3 linked regions of the Oreochromis niloticus genome follow. The protein of the gene in region 2 purifies or fractionates together with the protein of the main gene of each other region. This does not show direct contact. Links are inferred from orthologs where the notes say so. Each region holds a gene or a part of one and is shown on either strand. Other genes may lie near its edges.

What was found.
Region 1: the proteins of sod1 (region 2) and park7 purify together in Homo sapiens (affinity purification with mass spectrometry; 4 studies listed by BioGRID and IntAct, with this or other methods). This does not show direct contact. The link is inferred for Oreochromis niloticus from reciprocal best matches to the Homo sapiens genes SOD1 and PARK7.
Region 3: the proteins of sod1 (region 2) and hexb purify together in Homo sapiens (affinity purification with mass spectrometry; 3 studies listed by BioGRID and IntAct, with this or other methods). This does not show direct contact. The link is inferred for Oreochromis niloticus from reciprocal best matches to the Homo sapiens genes SOD1 and HEXB.

The regions. Positions count from the first base shown.
Region 1 is NC_031970.2:18,651,020-18,654,774, reverse strand, and holds the start of park7 (Parkinson disease protein 7 homolog), read right to left. Parts: upstream 2,589-3,755; 5' UTR 2,482-2,588; coding exon 2,392-2,481; intron 1,880-2,391; coding exon 1,778-1,879; intron 1,638-1,777; coding exon 1,578-1,637; intron 1-1,577. UniProt on the Homo sapiens protein: Multifunctional protein with controversial molecular function which plays an important role in cell protection against oxidative stress and cell death acting as oxidative stress sensor and redox-sensitive chaperone and protease.
Region 2 is NC_031975.2:15,129,432-15,133,186, reverse strand, and holds the start of sod1 (superoxide dismutase [Cu-Zn]), read left to right. Parts: upstream 1-1,081; 5' UTR 1,082-1,168; coding exon 1,169-1,240; intron 1,241-2,612; coding exon 2,613-2,709; intron 2,710-2,860; coding exon 2,861-2,930; intron 2,931-3,755. UniProt on the Homo sapiens protein: Destroys radicals which are normally produced within the cells and which are toxic to biological systems.
Region 3 is NC_031972.2:14,375,352-14,379,106, forward strand, and holds the start of hexb (beta-hexosaminidase subunit beta), read left to right. Parts: upstream 1-1,148; 5' UTR 1,149-1,229; coding exon 1,230-1,480; intron 1,481-1,624; coding exon 1,625-1,779; intron 1,780-3,582; coding exon 3,583-3,648; intron 3,649-3,755. UniProt on the Homo sapiens protein: Hydrolyzes the non-reducing end N-acetyl-D-hexosamine and/or sulfated N-acetyl-D-hexosamine of glycoconjugates, such as the oligosaccharide moieties from proteins and neutral glycolipids, or from certain mucopolysaccharides.

The sequences.
Region 1 (3,755 bases), on a different chromosome or scaffold from region 2:
CGTCTCTGCAACTCTGAAAGTCTCTATGTGGTCAACAACAGATACACATCATGCCCATATGGTGGTCTAAACCAATCAGAGATAGTCAAGGGCGGGACCTCTCTGATTGGCCATGGTAAAGATATTCCTGTAGGCCTACCTGCGTACGTTTGAAAGTGCAGGCGTATAGAGAGAGGTGAGTAGCCTAGGTCTGACAGAAGTAATAGATGTAGCTGTGAGTAATGGGAAAAGATGAAAAGAATGATTGATTACTTTTTCGTTAAGGCCTGATCCGTCCAAAATTTATAGCCAGTGCTCTGACACAGAGCCATCAACCTCCCAGGTTGTGTCTAACACTGGTCCGGAGACGGCATCAGATAATGAGCCACATATGAGCGACTCTAAGCCAGAGCCCACTGAAAGTCAAAGGGGGAAAGTGTATACATTTCGAAGAGAATAGCTTGACCAGTTTCCCTGGCTAAGATACAGTAAAGCTGACAACATGATGCACTGCATTTACTGTGGTGCAGTGGCGGGCCCTGCATTTACTTGGTATCAGATCAATACCAAAATTTGCAGTATAACAGAACACTACTCTGTGTTGAATGAGAGAAGAAGTTGGCAGGACAATTCCTGGCCACTTTTCTACATGTGAGTCACTTCCTTGTTTTGTTTGCACACATCTTTGTTACCACCTCTTGTGAACATCAGGTAGACCTTTTAAATAATATCCTAAATATCCTTCAAACTGTGAGTCAGTACTAGGGTTGCTGTATGCTCATTCTAAACACAGTGTGTGTTAGTTCCCCTGTTCCCCAATTGGCATTTAACCAGCAGAAATAATCGTCCTACCGCTGCCAAATATTTGCAATTTTAGTAAAAAATGTTATTGTGATACTATGCAAACAAGATAACATTACTTGCACACGCATATAGCTAAAAAGAAGCAACTGCATTTCTTTGGATATAATTATCAATTTACAAATTGAGAATGGTCCCAATACTGGAATTTTGGCACAGCAGCAGAGAACTTAAATCCCCGAAGGTGGTGATATCAATCTGAAACTGAATCTGACAAGGTGGTATTAACTGAGGACCCAAGTGTGTGACGGAAAGGGTGTATGCGTTTAACAGTGGATTTATACTTCTGCATTAAATCTATCCCATAAGTACGCAGTGACCTGAAAGAATGTACAAAGAACTCGAAAAACCCGATGGGAAAATATGTTTGACTATGAAAAAAACAATAACAACAACAAAACAAAACAAGATTTTACTTGTTTCTTTTGTCACTGGCACCACATATAAAACACCAGGACACAATCACGAGATAATAAAACACATGATGCACCACACACAAGCAGACTCATTTGTGTAGGTTACACCATAGACTATACAGAAGATTCAGTTCAGACATATTAATCAAACATAAGACTGATGAACCTTGAGAAACTTTAGAAATTTTTTCACACTTTGGTTTCACTGTCAGTTATTTAGTCCTAATGTTTAGGCAAATTCAAGCATTTTAACTTGTTTTTCTTTTTAAGCCATTTCCAAAAAAAATGTTACTGTAAAAACTGGCCCCCTCCCCATCTCACCTCTGCTAGATTCTGGGCTCCTGGCATTCCTCCTGGCAGAAGGACCACATCATAAGGGCCCTAGAGAGGGGGGGGGAGGGGACCATCAACATTAACATTTTTCCAATAACAAAAATATACAAGCATATAATATAAGCATTGTAAATAACGCTTTTTTTTCTTCTTGCATGTAATGTTAGCAGGTAGTTGCTGAGCCTCACCTGTTTGCTCGCCTCCTCCAGACTGGCATCAGGACAAATTACAACGTTTCTGCTACACTGGACTGGCTCTTTGCCGGTAAGACCAGCTACCGTCACTGCTATCTACATGTTTGGGCAGTAAAAGAAAAAAACAACAACAGTGCATCATTATCCTGATGGTTCAAAGTGGCATTTTGTCTGCACTCTGTATGGCTGACGTAGACTTTTATTTTGAAAGATATCAAATGGCGGAGATGTTCAACGACGACGGACTTTGACATTTAACTTGACCTCTGTCTGCACTCACTAGTAAGGTTATGAGTCCGTCAACCATTAGCAGACACAACCCCAAAATAGCTGACTGAAAACTTAGCTTATGCGCTAAAATAACCTAAAATATGCAAAGGGGAAAATTGCTAAGTTAGATCGACAGTGTTAGCAAGCGTTAACATTAGCACAAGGTAAGTGCGTATGTTACACTTATCAAGATATCAGGCTGTTATAACAGTCTTGACAGGCTGATATCTTAACAATGCTGCCACCAATACTGATGTGAGTCGACTGAAGCGGGGTCTAATTTTTATAGACGCTAACAGGCTAATTTGCTAAATGCTAACATATAGCATGTTACAAACCCCAGCTCTGCGCATAATGTCCACGGGAATAACAGTTTCCATCTCCTCTGCGCCTTTAGACAGGATTACTAACGCCCTCTTCCCTGCCATGTTAGCTTGCAGCTCTGTACTGCTAGGTGCAAAGACGCTAACTTCTGTTTCCAACTTCTAGAAGCAACCTGCACGCGCTGCGAGTTTGACAGGAGGGTTGCCAGACTGCGCGACACTATCCCCCTTTCTAGACTGCGGTCCGTGCCTATTCTACTCGCACCTGCAAGTATGTGAATTAAAAAAGTAAAGTAGTTAGATTCTTTTATTGTTTATAGTTAGTAGGATTTTGCAAACAAATATATTGTGCGCAAGAACAGGAAGGACAGGACCTGCAAAGCATGTCACTGTACCACTCCAGCACATAACATCAGGGTGCAAGACGCTAACAGACAGGGCATACATAACAGAGTGGCTGGCATAGTGTACAGGAACATCTGTGCTCAGTATGGCTTGCAAGTCCTGAGGTCGAAATGGTGTACGCCCCCTCGAGTGGTTGAGAATGAGCAAGTTAAGATCCTGTGGGAATTCTAGATACAGATGGACAAACTGGTGATGGCTAACCAATCGGACATAGTCGTGGTGGACAAGCAGAGGGGAGACATCTGTAGTGATAGATGTAGCCGTAGCAAGATAGATCTCACTTCTCATCCCTATTTATTGTTGCATCCTTTTGCAGGGCAAGTCAGTGAAACCTGAAAATCAATGATGGATGGAGCTCTTGGAAAGCATGATGACCAGGAGAACAGATCACTGGCGAGTGTTTGTTCTTTGCCCCTACTATCTTAGTGCAGTAATGCTTCCTTTCACAGTGCTTACAGCATGTCTTCCGGTGGCTCATAACATCCGATCACAGTAAGCCAAGATCACACAGCTTATCCAACAAATCATCATTCCAGCTGCTTGTTATACTATTTCTATGCCCTGGCAGGGTCTGATGGTCTCTACTACGCTGATTTAAGCCAGATTTGAAACACAAGTATTTATATCTCAAGGCTGTTTAACAAAAACAGCATTGTCTTCTACTGCAGCTGTATCTAATGGTGTTTAATAACAGGCAATGCACTCTTTCTTCCAGTAGGTGGAGGCATTAACCAAAGATTCAAGAAGGATTTAGAAGAACGCATGAGAAAGAATCAATGCAACACTAAACATATATTTTTTTTAAAGAAAATGTCTCATTAGTTCAGTTAATGTCAGGCTCATTGCAGATTAAAATGAGCAGCTCAACAGGTCAATTAACTAAAGTAATGAATGTAGTTTTAAAAAACATCTCCAGGCATTAGGTCTCCAAAGTCACAAAGTTCTTCAAGATCTGCCTGAGAACTTACTTCTGC
Region 2 (3,755 bases):
GTTTATTGCAAGCACTCTTTTATGCACAGCTCACTTATGATCCTGCAACAGCACTTGAGGCAGGTTGAGGTGTGTACTTGTGGTGCCATTGTGGCACCTCGAATCTTTTCATTTTCAGCCATTCTGTTGTAGATTTGCTGCTGTGATTGGGATCACTGTTTTCCTGCATGACTCAATTTTGTTCAAGGTTTAGCTGTCACATAGATGGCCTCACATTTGACTGTGGTACACGGAGGAGCTCATGGTCTGCTTCGTCCCCGCAGTGATAAGGTGGCCAGATCATCAATCTTCCATCACCGTGCTTGGCAGTTAGTGTAAGATGTATGTGCTGATATGCTGGCTTTGGTTTTGTTTGGAAATGCCCCTATACGTCTTCTCAGATTGATGGACAGCAACAGATGCTCCTCTAAGATCATTGCTAAGATCATTTCCACAAAGTGCCAAAATTTCTGCTTTTGTAGCTGTGCTCACACTTGCTGATGATCAGTTAATCAATTTGATTTGATTATGATTATTTACTCTCTTAACTCCTATGGCAGTAGTAAACATATACTCAGGTTTTCACACACTGGTTCAATATTAATGAGGCTGTTATGTTGTGTTGTTTATATGAGTTTGTGATTAAGAAAGTTCAAGACCTACTGAGGACCAATTTTTGATATGCACTGACACGAAAAACCTTAGAATTAACAAAGGATGTCCTTTGTTTTACCATTACTCTAGGTGTCAACAACAGCAACAAGAAACTGCATAAAACGTTCAGCTCCACCTACACCACATCTATAACGAAGGGCTACACCATCACCAGTTTATTACACAATTAGTAGGCTATTGACTGGTAGTACTCACAAGGATACATATGACATTTTCTAAGTACTGGGAACTTTGTCAGATCTACTCTTGAACCAGTTAATATTTCTCATTTATCTGTGTATTTCATATATTTAATTACTTTTATAACGTGGTTGTAGAGATTTTTTTCCCATCTGTCTGATAAGCCAATATCTTAGCAGTGACCAATCAAAATGTGCCATTTTTAATTTTATTTGATTCTGATTGGTTGATGTAGCATACACCCGCCTATTAGTTATGCAGTATACGTAATCGCTTGTCAAAAGCAAGACCACGCGTTCATAGGCTGGGTGTCGTGTCTCAAACTTCTGCAAAGATGGTGCTGAAAGCGGTTTGCGTTTTGAAGGGAACTGGCGACACTAGTGGGACAGTTTATTTTGAACAGGAGGTAAGACGGGCTATTCTTCGTTCACGTTGAGAAAAAAAACCCCGTCCCACAAACTACGCATTTAGCCGTTTTAAAGCGAAACGTTAGAAGGGTTAATGCACATCCTGCTCTTACAGTTATCGCCGACGGCTAAGCTAGCCAAGTTCTGCTCTCTTTAGCTTGTCTTAATGGTTAGCTTGCTGTTGGCTTGCTAGCTAGGTACGCGTTAGCTTGTGAATAACAAGTCGTGCAAATTTGCGTGGGTTTTCTAACAGTCTGGTCTCATATTCAACGCCGCCCCGTTGCTAATTAACCTCAGTTTACTCTGCACAGTATAGTCAGTGGATGTTGCTTTTCACTTCAAAGTAGGTTGCTTGTGTCAACCACGCATTTAACAGGCTATATGAAATCACTGGCTTGTCACTATAGCAGTAACCTTTGGCCACTAAAGCCTGTGCAGTGTTAATGGTTAAAGGTGTGTTTTTTAAGGCCCGCCCAGGCTGTTTGTATAAGAAAGACGCTTGTTGCATAAGTTCAACGTTTGCAGAGACAGTCTAAAACAGACCGTCAGATGTGGTTTCATCTACCAGGCAAGCACTTCTGTATGTAACGCTTTTGCTGTAACTCCGAAACAGCCGGCAAAATGCTTCGATATTATTGTGATCCATCAAAACAAGAGCAAACGCGAATTTGCTCATTATTTTTTTGCCGAGTCATTGCCTGTCCTTGTTTTCGTTGCCTTTCGTTTATTTGGCCTTCTTGATAAGGGTAAAGTGCACTGTGCAACCGTCAAAGACACATGGTCCACTATCAAAGAGACGGACTCATTCACATCAAATCAAACTTTGTGTGTAAATTACAGTGTATAAGTAATATTTGTAACCAATCATTTGAATTCAGTTCAGTGCATTTTAAATTTATAGAGCACCAAATCACAACAGTTGCCTTAAGGTGCTTGGAGGTTTAAACGTAGTTTTCTTGAAGACTTCCTGCTGTGCAGACGTAATGAATGATTACCTGTCCCTTTCCATAGAAAATGCATTGCATCCTCCAGTAATAACTTTCAGAAGGCATGATTGTGCAGTTTAAGCTAACTGTACCATGCATTAAAACAAACTTATTGAACATTACTGCTGTTGTAGTTCAACTTAATAGGATTTTTTTAAGTTTATATTTGAGAGTATGTCTTTTGTAGTAGATCTGAAATGTCTGTTATTTTTTTGGCACCAAATCCCACAGCCCAGCTTTGTTTTTCCTCCTTACGTTATTATAAGGAATGTCTGTCTGGGGTGGGGCATGCTATTGAATGGAAGTAATCTTCATTCAATATTCCCGTCCTTCTAGCCACCTGGCTTTGAGAGCTTCTTTTGTATTTGTGTTTTTGATCTGCTAGAATGAGTCAGCCCCTGTGAAGCTGACAGGAGAAATCAAAGGCCTTACCCCTGGTGAGCATGGTTTCCATGTCCATGCTTTTGGAGACAACACAAACGGTAAGTTTCTCTGTGTGTGTGAAAGAGATCCAAATCCAAAGAGACTTGGATTTCTTAATTTTCAGAATTTGATAATGTTACTGCATCACCTAGGTAATCTAGACTAAATTTGCAATAGTTCAATATGTTTCATATATATTTTCTTACCCAGGGTGCATTAGTGCAGGCCCACACTTCAATCCCTACAACAAGAATCATGGTGGGCCTAAAGATGCAGAAAGGTGAGTCCAGTCTGAAGGAAGAGTATCAGTATAAAAAGTAATTATATTGCTCATTAGTAGTAATGTTATGTCTGACACTGAAGCCCCAAGGCCTGTTAAGCAAAGTGGGTGTGTCCAAATGAAACCTTTGTTTAGGCCTGTATTCTTTAGAATATCACGTGGCAACTTGCCTGACTGCCTTGTTATGTGATTCGAGCTGTTGAAAAGATGTGGGAGTTAGATTTTTTTGCATGAATTGGATGTGAGGTCATTCTGAGGATCATCACGAAGTTGCAAGGAAATTTTATGCACATTATGGATCAACAAAAAGGGCAAAAAATATCAGCAGTTAGGGAGGATTTTGACATGATACCTCCCAGTAATAACACGTCTTTTCAAATCAATCTCTGAGGTACATATCTACTGGTATGTAGCACACATGTATTATCACAGCAGAGCTGCTGTAATTTGAATGACCAGTAAATGTCAGTAATTTCAAATGAGCTTCGTGTGATTTGCCTTCTGGTGAAACAATTCGCCAGAAAGATTCAACAATTTCACAGGAGTTCATGCACCATCACTACTCATCAGCAATGGCTACAATAAAAGTTAATGTAAATGGTTACAAAGGACTGAAATATTTAGTAGGGTGCTTTGAAATAAGCTTCAGATCATGTCAAGAGGTTGACATTTGAGCAATATTTACCCCCCAAAAAAAAGAAAAAAAAGGTGGGGTCCTTGTTGTGATATGGCTGTGCCATTCTAAGGGACACCAAAAATACCCTTGGATTACTTGTCATTTAGTTCACTCAAAGTTGCAAATGATTTTAATAGATTTACTCCTAT
Region 3 (3,755 bases), on a different chromosome or scaffold from region 2:
TCAGCATTTCTCTTCCTCTAAACATGGCGGGTCGAGTGACCACAGCGCTTCCTCACAATCCTTCACTGAACCATTTAATGTTCACTGGCAAACTTAAGCTGGGCCTGTACACCTGTCTTCGTGTACAGGGACAATATGAGCACTGCAGGATTTCAATCCATTACATCCATTCAGTCCTTACTGAGTTACCAATGGTGTTCTCTGTGATTGTGGTACCAAATGAATTCAGATCATTAATAAACTCCTCCCTTGTAATTTTGGGCTGATCCCCCACCTTTCTCATGATGATCTTCACCCCATGAAGCAAGATCTTGCATGCAGCTCCACGTCAAAGGTGATTCATGGTCATTTTGTATGTCTTCAATCTCTGAATAATCACACAAACAGCTATCATTTTCTCACAAAGCTTCATGCTGATTGTTTTGTAGCCCATTCCAGCCTTGTGGTGGTCTACAGTCTTGTCCCTGACAGATGTTTGGGCTTGCCCATAGTGGTGGAGAGGTTGGAATGGCGTGCTTTATACACACATGAGTATCTATAACTGATTGATTGGTTGATTGATTGTAATATGTGTTACACATGGGCAGACAGCCAGTTTGTGGGGTATTAAATTGTTATTTCACTCAATGAAATACAAATCAATGTATAACTTTTATGTGATGTGTGGGTTATTTCTGGATTTTTGGTCGATATTCTGCCTGTCGCCAATAAAATGAAACTGCAATTACAATTAGCGTTGTTCATTTCCTTACAAGTGAGCAAAGTATAAATTCAGAAGGGGATCAGATAGTTACCCCACGGTGGATTGTCTTGATCTGTGCCAAATGTTGACTGTTTTAAGGTCAACAAGGTCATTAAATTTGAATAGACGGTCGATTGAAGTATGAATCCAAGAGTTTTAATAATTTCATCATATACTATATCATCATTTTTGTCACGCGTTTTCTTACTTTGCACTGAGTACTTTGACACGTAATAGTTTAGCATTAGTAAATCAGCTTACTTCAATAACATTTCATTCATACTGGATCTGACTCGATGATTTGGCTGAGTAAATATACGATACATTGTACTTTTCAAGAGAGCCGGTGTTACGGCAGGTTTGTGGTTTCTCTTTAAATTTCTGTTAAATTTGACTTCCGCATGGAAGTCCCGCCCCCTCTCGCAAAATAAAAGTGCTACTGTCGCAAGGTCTTGTGACTTGACTGTAATTTGTCAACAACACGATAATGCTGAAGTTTGTGTCGCTGTTGCTGGCTCTTAGCTGCTGCCAGGGGCTGCACCACAACAACATCGACGACTATGTTGAGGCCGAGCCCGTTTTCCAGGCGTCAAAGTACGGCTCCCTGTGGCCTCTGCCGCAGAAAGTGCAGATTTCAGAGGTTTCATTCAAGTTAAGCAGTGCCAGCTTCAGGATTGTTGATGCCAAAGCGTCGTCCGCTGGACCGAGCTGCAGTCTCCTACAGAGCGCATACAGGAGGTGAGCAGCTGTGTCTATGAGCTGTTTTTATATTTATTTATTTGCATCGCTGCACATGATTTATATATGTGGCGAAATCTCAACACCGCAGCCCGTGTTGCGTTCAGGGGCCAGTTTCCACCCTCATGCTGTCTCTCTCTGCAGGTATTATGAGTACATGTTCGGCAGCGCTAAAAAGCAGTGGGGAAGCAAAAACAACAGGCGATCAGATCCCTCTGATCTGACCGAGCTGCAAGTGTGGATCACATCACCTGACTCTGAATGTGACGGTTACCCCAGTGTGACTTCTGACGAGTCATGTGAGTACCTTCTCTTCCTCGTTCATGTCATGTTTTACCGCAGTATCCAATCAGGCGCCTCTTCCTCAGCTATTCCATGTAACTAGGTGTAACTACTGTTACTAAACTGCCTTGCGTCGCAGAGGGGAAATTCTGTAATTTTTACTCTATTACATGTATGTTCAAGCTTTTCGGGGTACTTCCCACTGTATGAATTTACAAAGCAAACCAAAAGAAAAAGATATGCAATGAAAGTGAAAACGAATGAATGAAAATATGGACCAAAAAAACTGTATGACACTCATTTTATAATTGGTACAGCTGTTTTATATTGATTATGTATAGTGTTGCTAACTTTATTGTAATTATTGCCACCTGAAAACAAATTTTCATACTATGCAACCATGTGGAAAAACTAAGTACACCCTTACAACTCCCATAGGAATTAAAAGGTTAAGTGGCAGCCAGGTCCTGAGCTTGATTAATTGATCATTGGCCACTGTGGGCACCTATCTAAAGGCACAGGTTTGGGCATTTAACATCCCAGGAAATTCACCCCAAGGTCAGAGCAAAAGCATCTCAGACACTACAGGCCTCAGTTAGCATGTTAAATGTTAAAATTCATGACAGTACAATTACAAACAACCTCTCCAAATGGGTTGTTTGGAGAGGTTTTTAAATGTGCATAAGAATGAATCACAACACCTCTGGAACAATGCCCAAAGGGTGATGTTTGGTCATAATTTACAACTCCAAATTTCAAACGCAGTTCATCAGCACAAATACCTCATACCAACTGTCAGCTACGGCTTTTGGGCCAAAATGCCTCTACACCAACAATAGACTGATCCAGTCATACAGAGAACACTACAACAGTACAATACGACAATAAGCAAACAATAGTTCAAGGTGTTCAGCGTCGTTTTCAACAGGACTGCGTAGTCCTGTAGACATGTTCGTTTTCACAACTGTATTTAAATGTCCATCTGTGGTTATGCAGAAATGAATATTGCAAACGGTTATCTGCCTCTGCATGATGAGCATGATATTCATCTGCTCTTGCTTGTGGTTTCTCTCCTGTTTTTAAGACTTTAACACTTGACTTAGAAGTACATTTAGAAATCAGACTGAAATGAAGAAGAAAAACAGGTTTATATTGCGACGTTTTAAAGAGATTAAAATTTCATTAAATTACAGAGTTTAATTACATTTTTGACATGTGAATTCTTACAAAACATCAGTATTAACTTTAGTACCACCAACTTGCATTTTATTTGATTTACAAACTAAATAAATTGAAATTTGTTTTTTATGAACTCATAATAGTTAAAGCCTTAAAAACATACTACACTGTACTTTTTATCATCTCACAGCCCTTTCACTTTATGTTTTGAACCACTGTACCAAACCTTGTCTAAAGCAATAATAACCAGCTGTGACAATTAAACGCTTTTTATTGTCGCAGTAGATTATTATTGCTTAATTGTTTTCATTCAAGGAATGTTATAACATTCATTTTTCTGTGAATACTCTGACTAATATTTCACTGATGATACATTTATTTAAATTGGAAATGCAGGCTAATTTCAGTGCACTAGAGCATTTTTGACTGGTTTCAGTGGTCAAACTGAAGACTTTCCAGTGGAATTAGTGATCACCTGGAGAGCAAATACTAGGATTAACCCAGTTAATCTACACTAAATGTTCAAATCCTTCCTTAAGGCCATTACTTCACCATTTCCTTACCCTGACCTGAACACCTCTACAACAATCGGCCAAGTTTTGAAAATGAATATGCAGTAAACAGGTGGTGGTTTCTTACAGATGAACTGACAGTGAATCAGCCAGTTGCTGTCCTGAAGGCACCTACGGTCTGGGGAGCTCTGCATGGTAGGATTTACAGCATTTATTTTCATTGTCAAATTATTTCTTATTTCCCATTTTCTGTTTAGTAGTAAGAAAACAAGAAATTCTATCAAGATTTCTTTGTCTTTTTA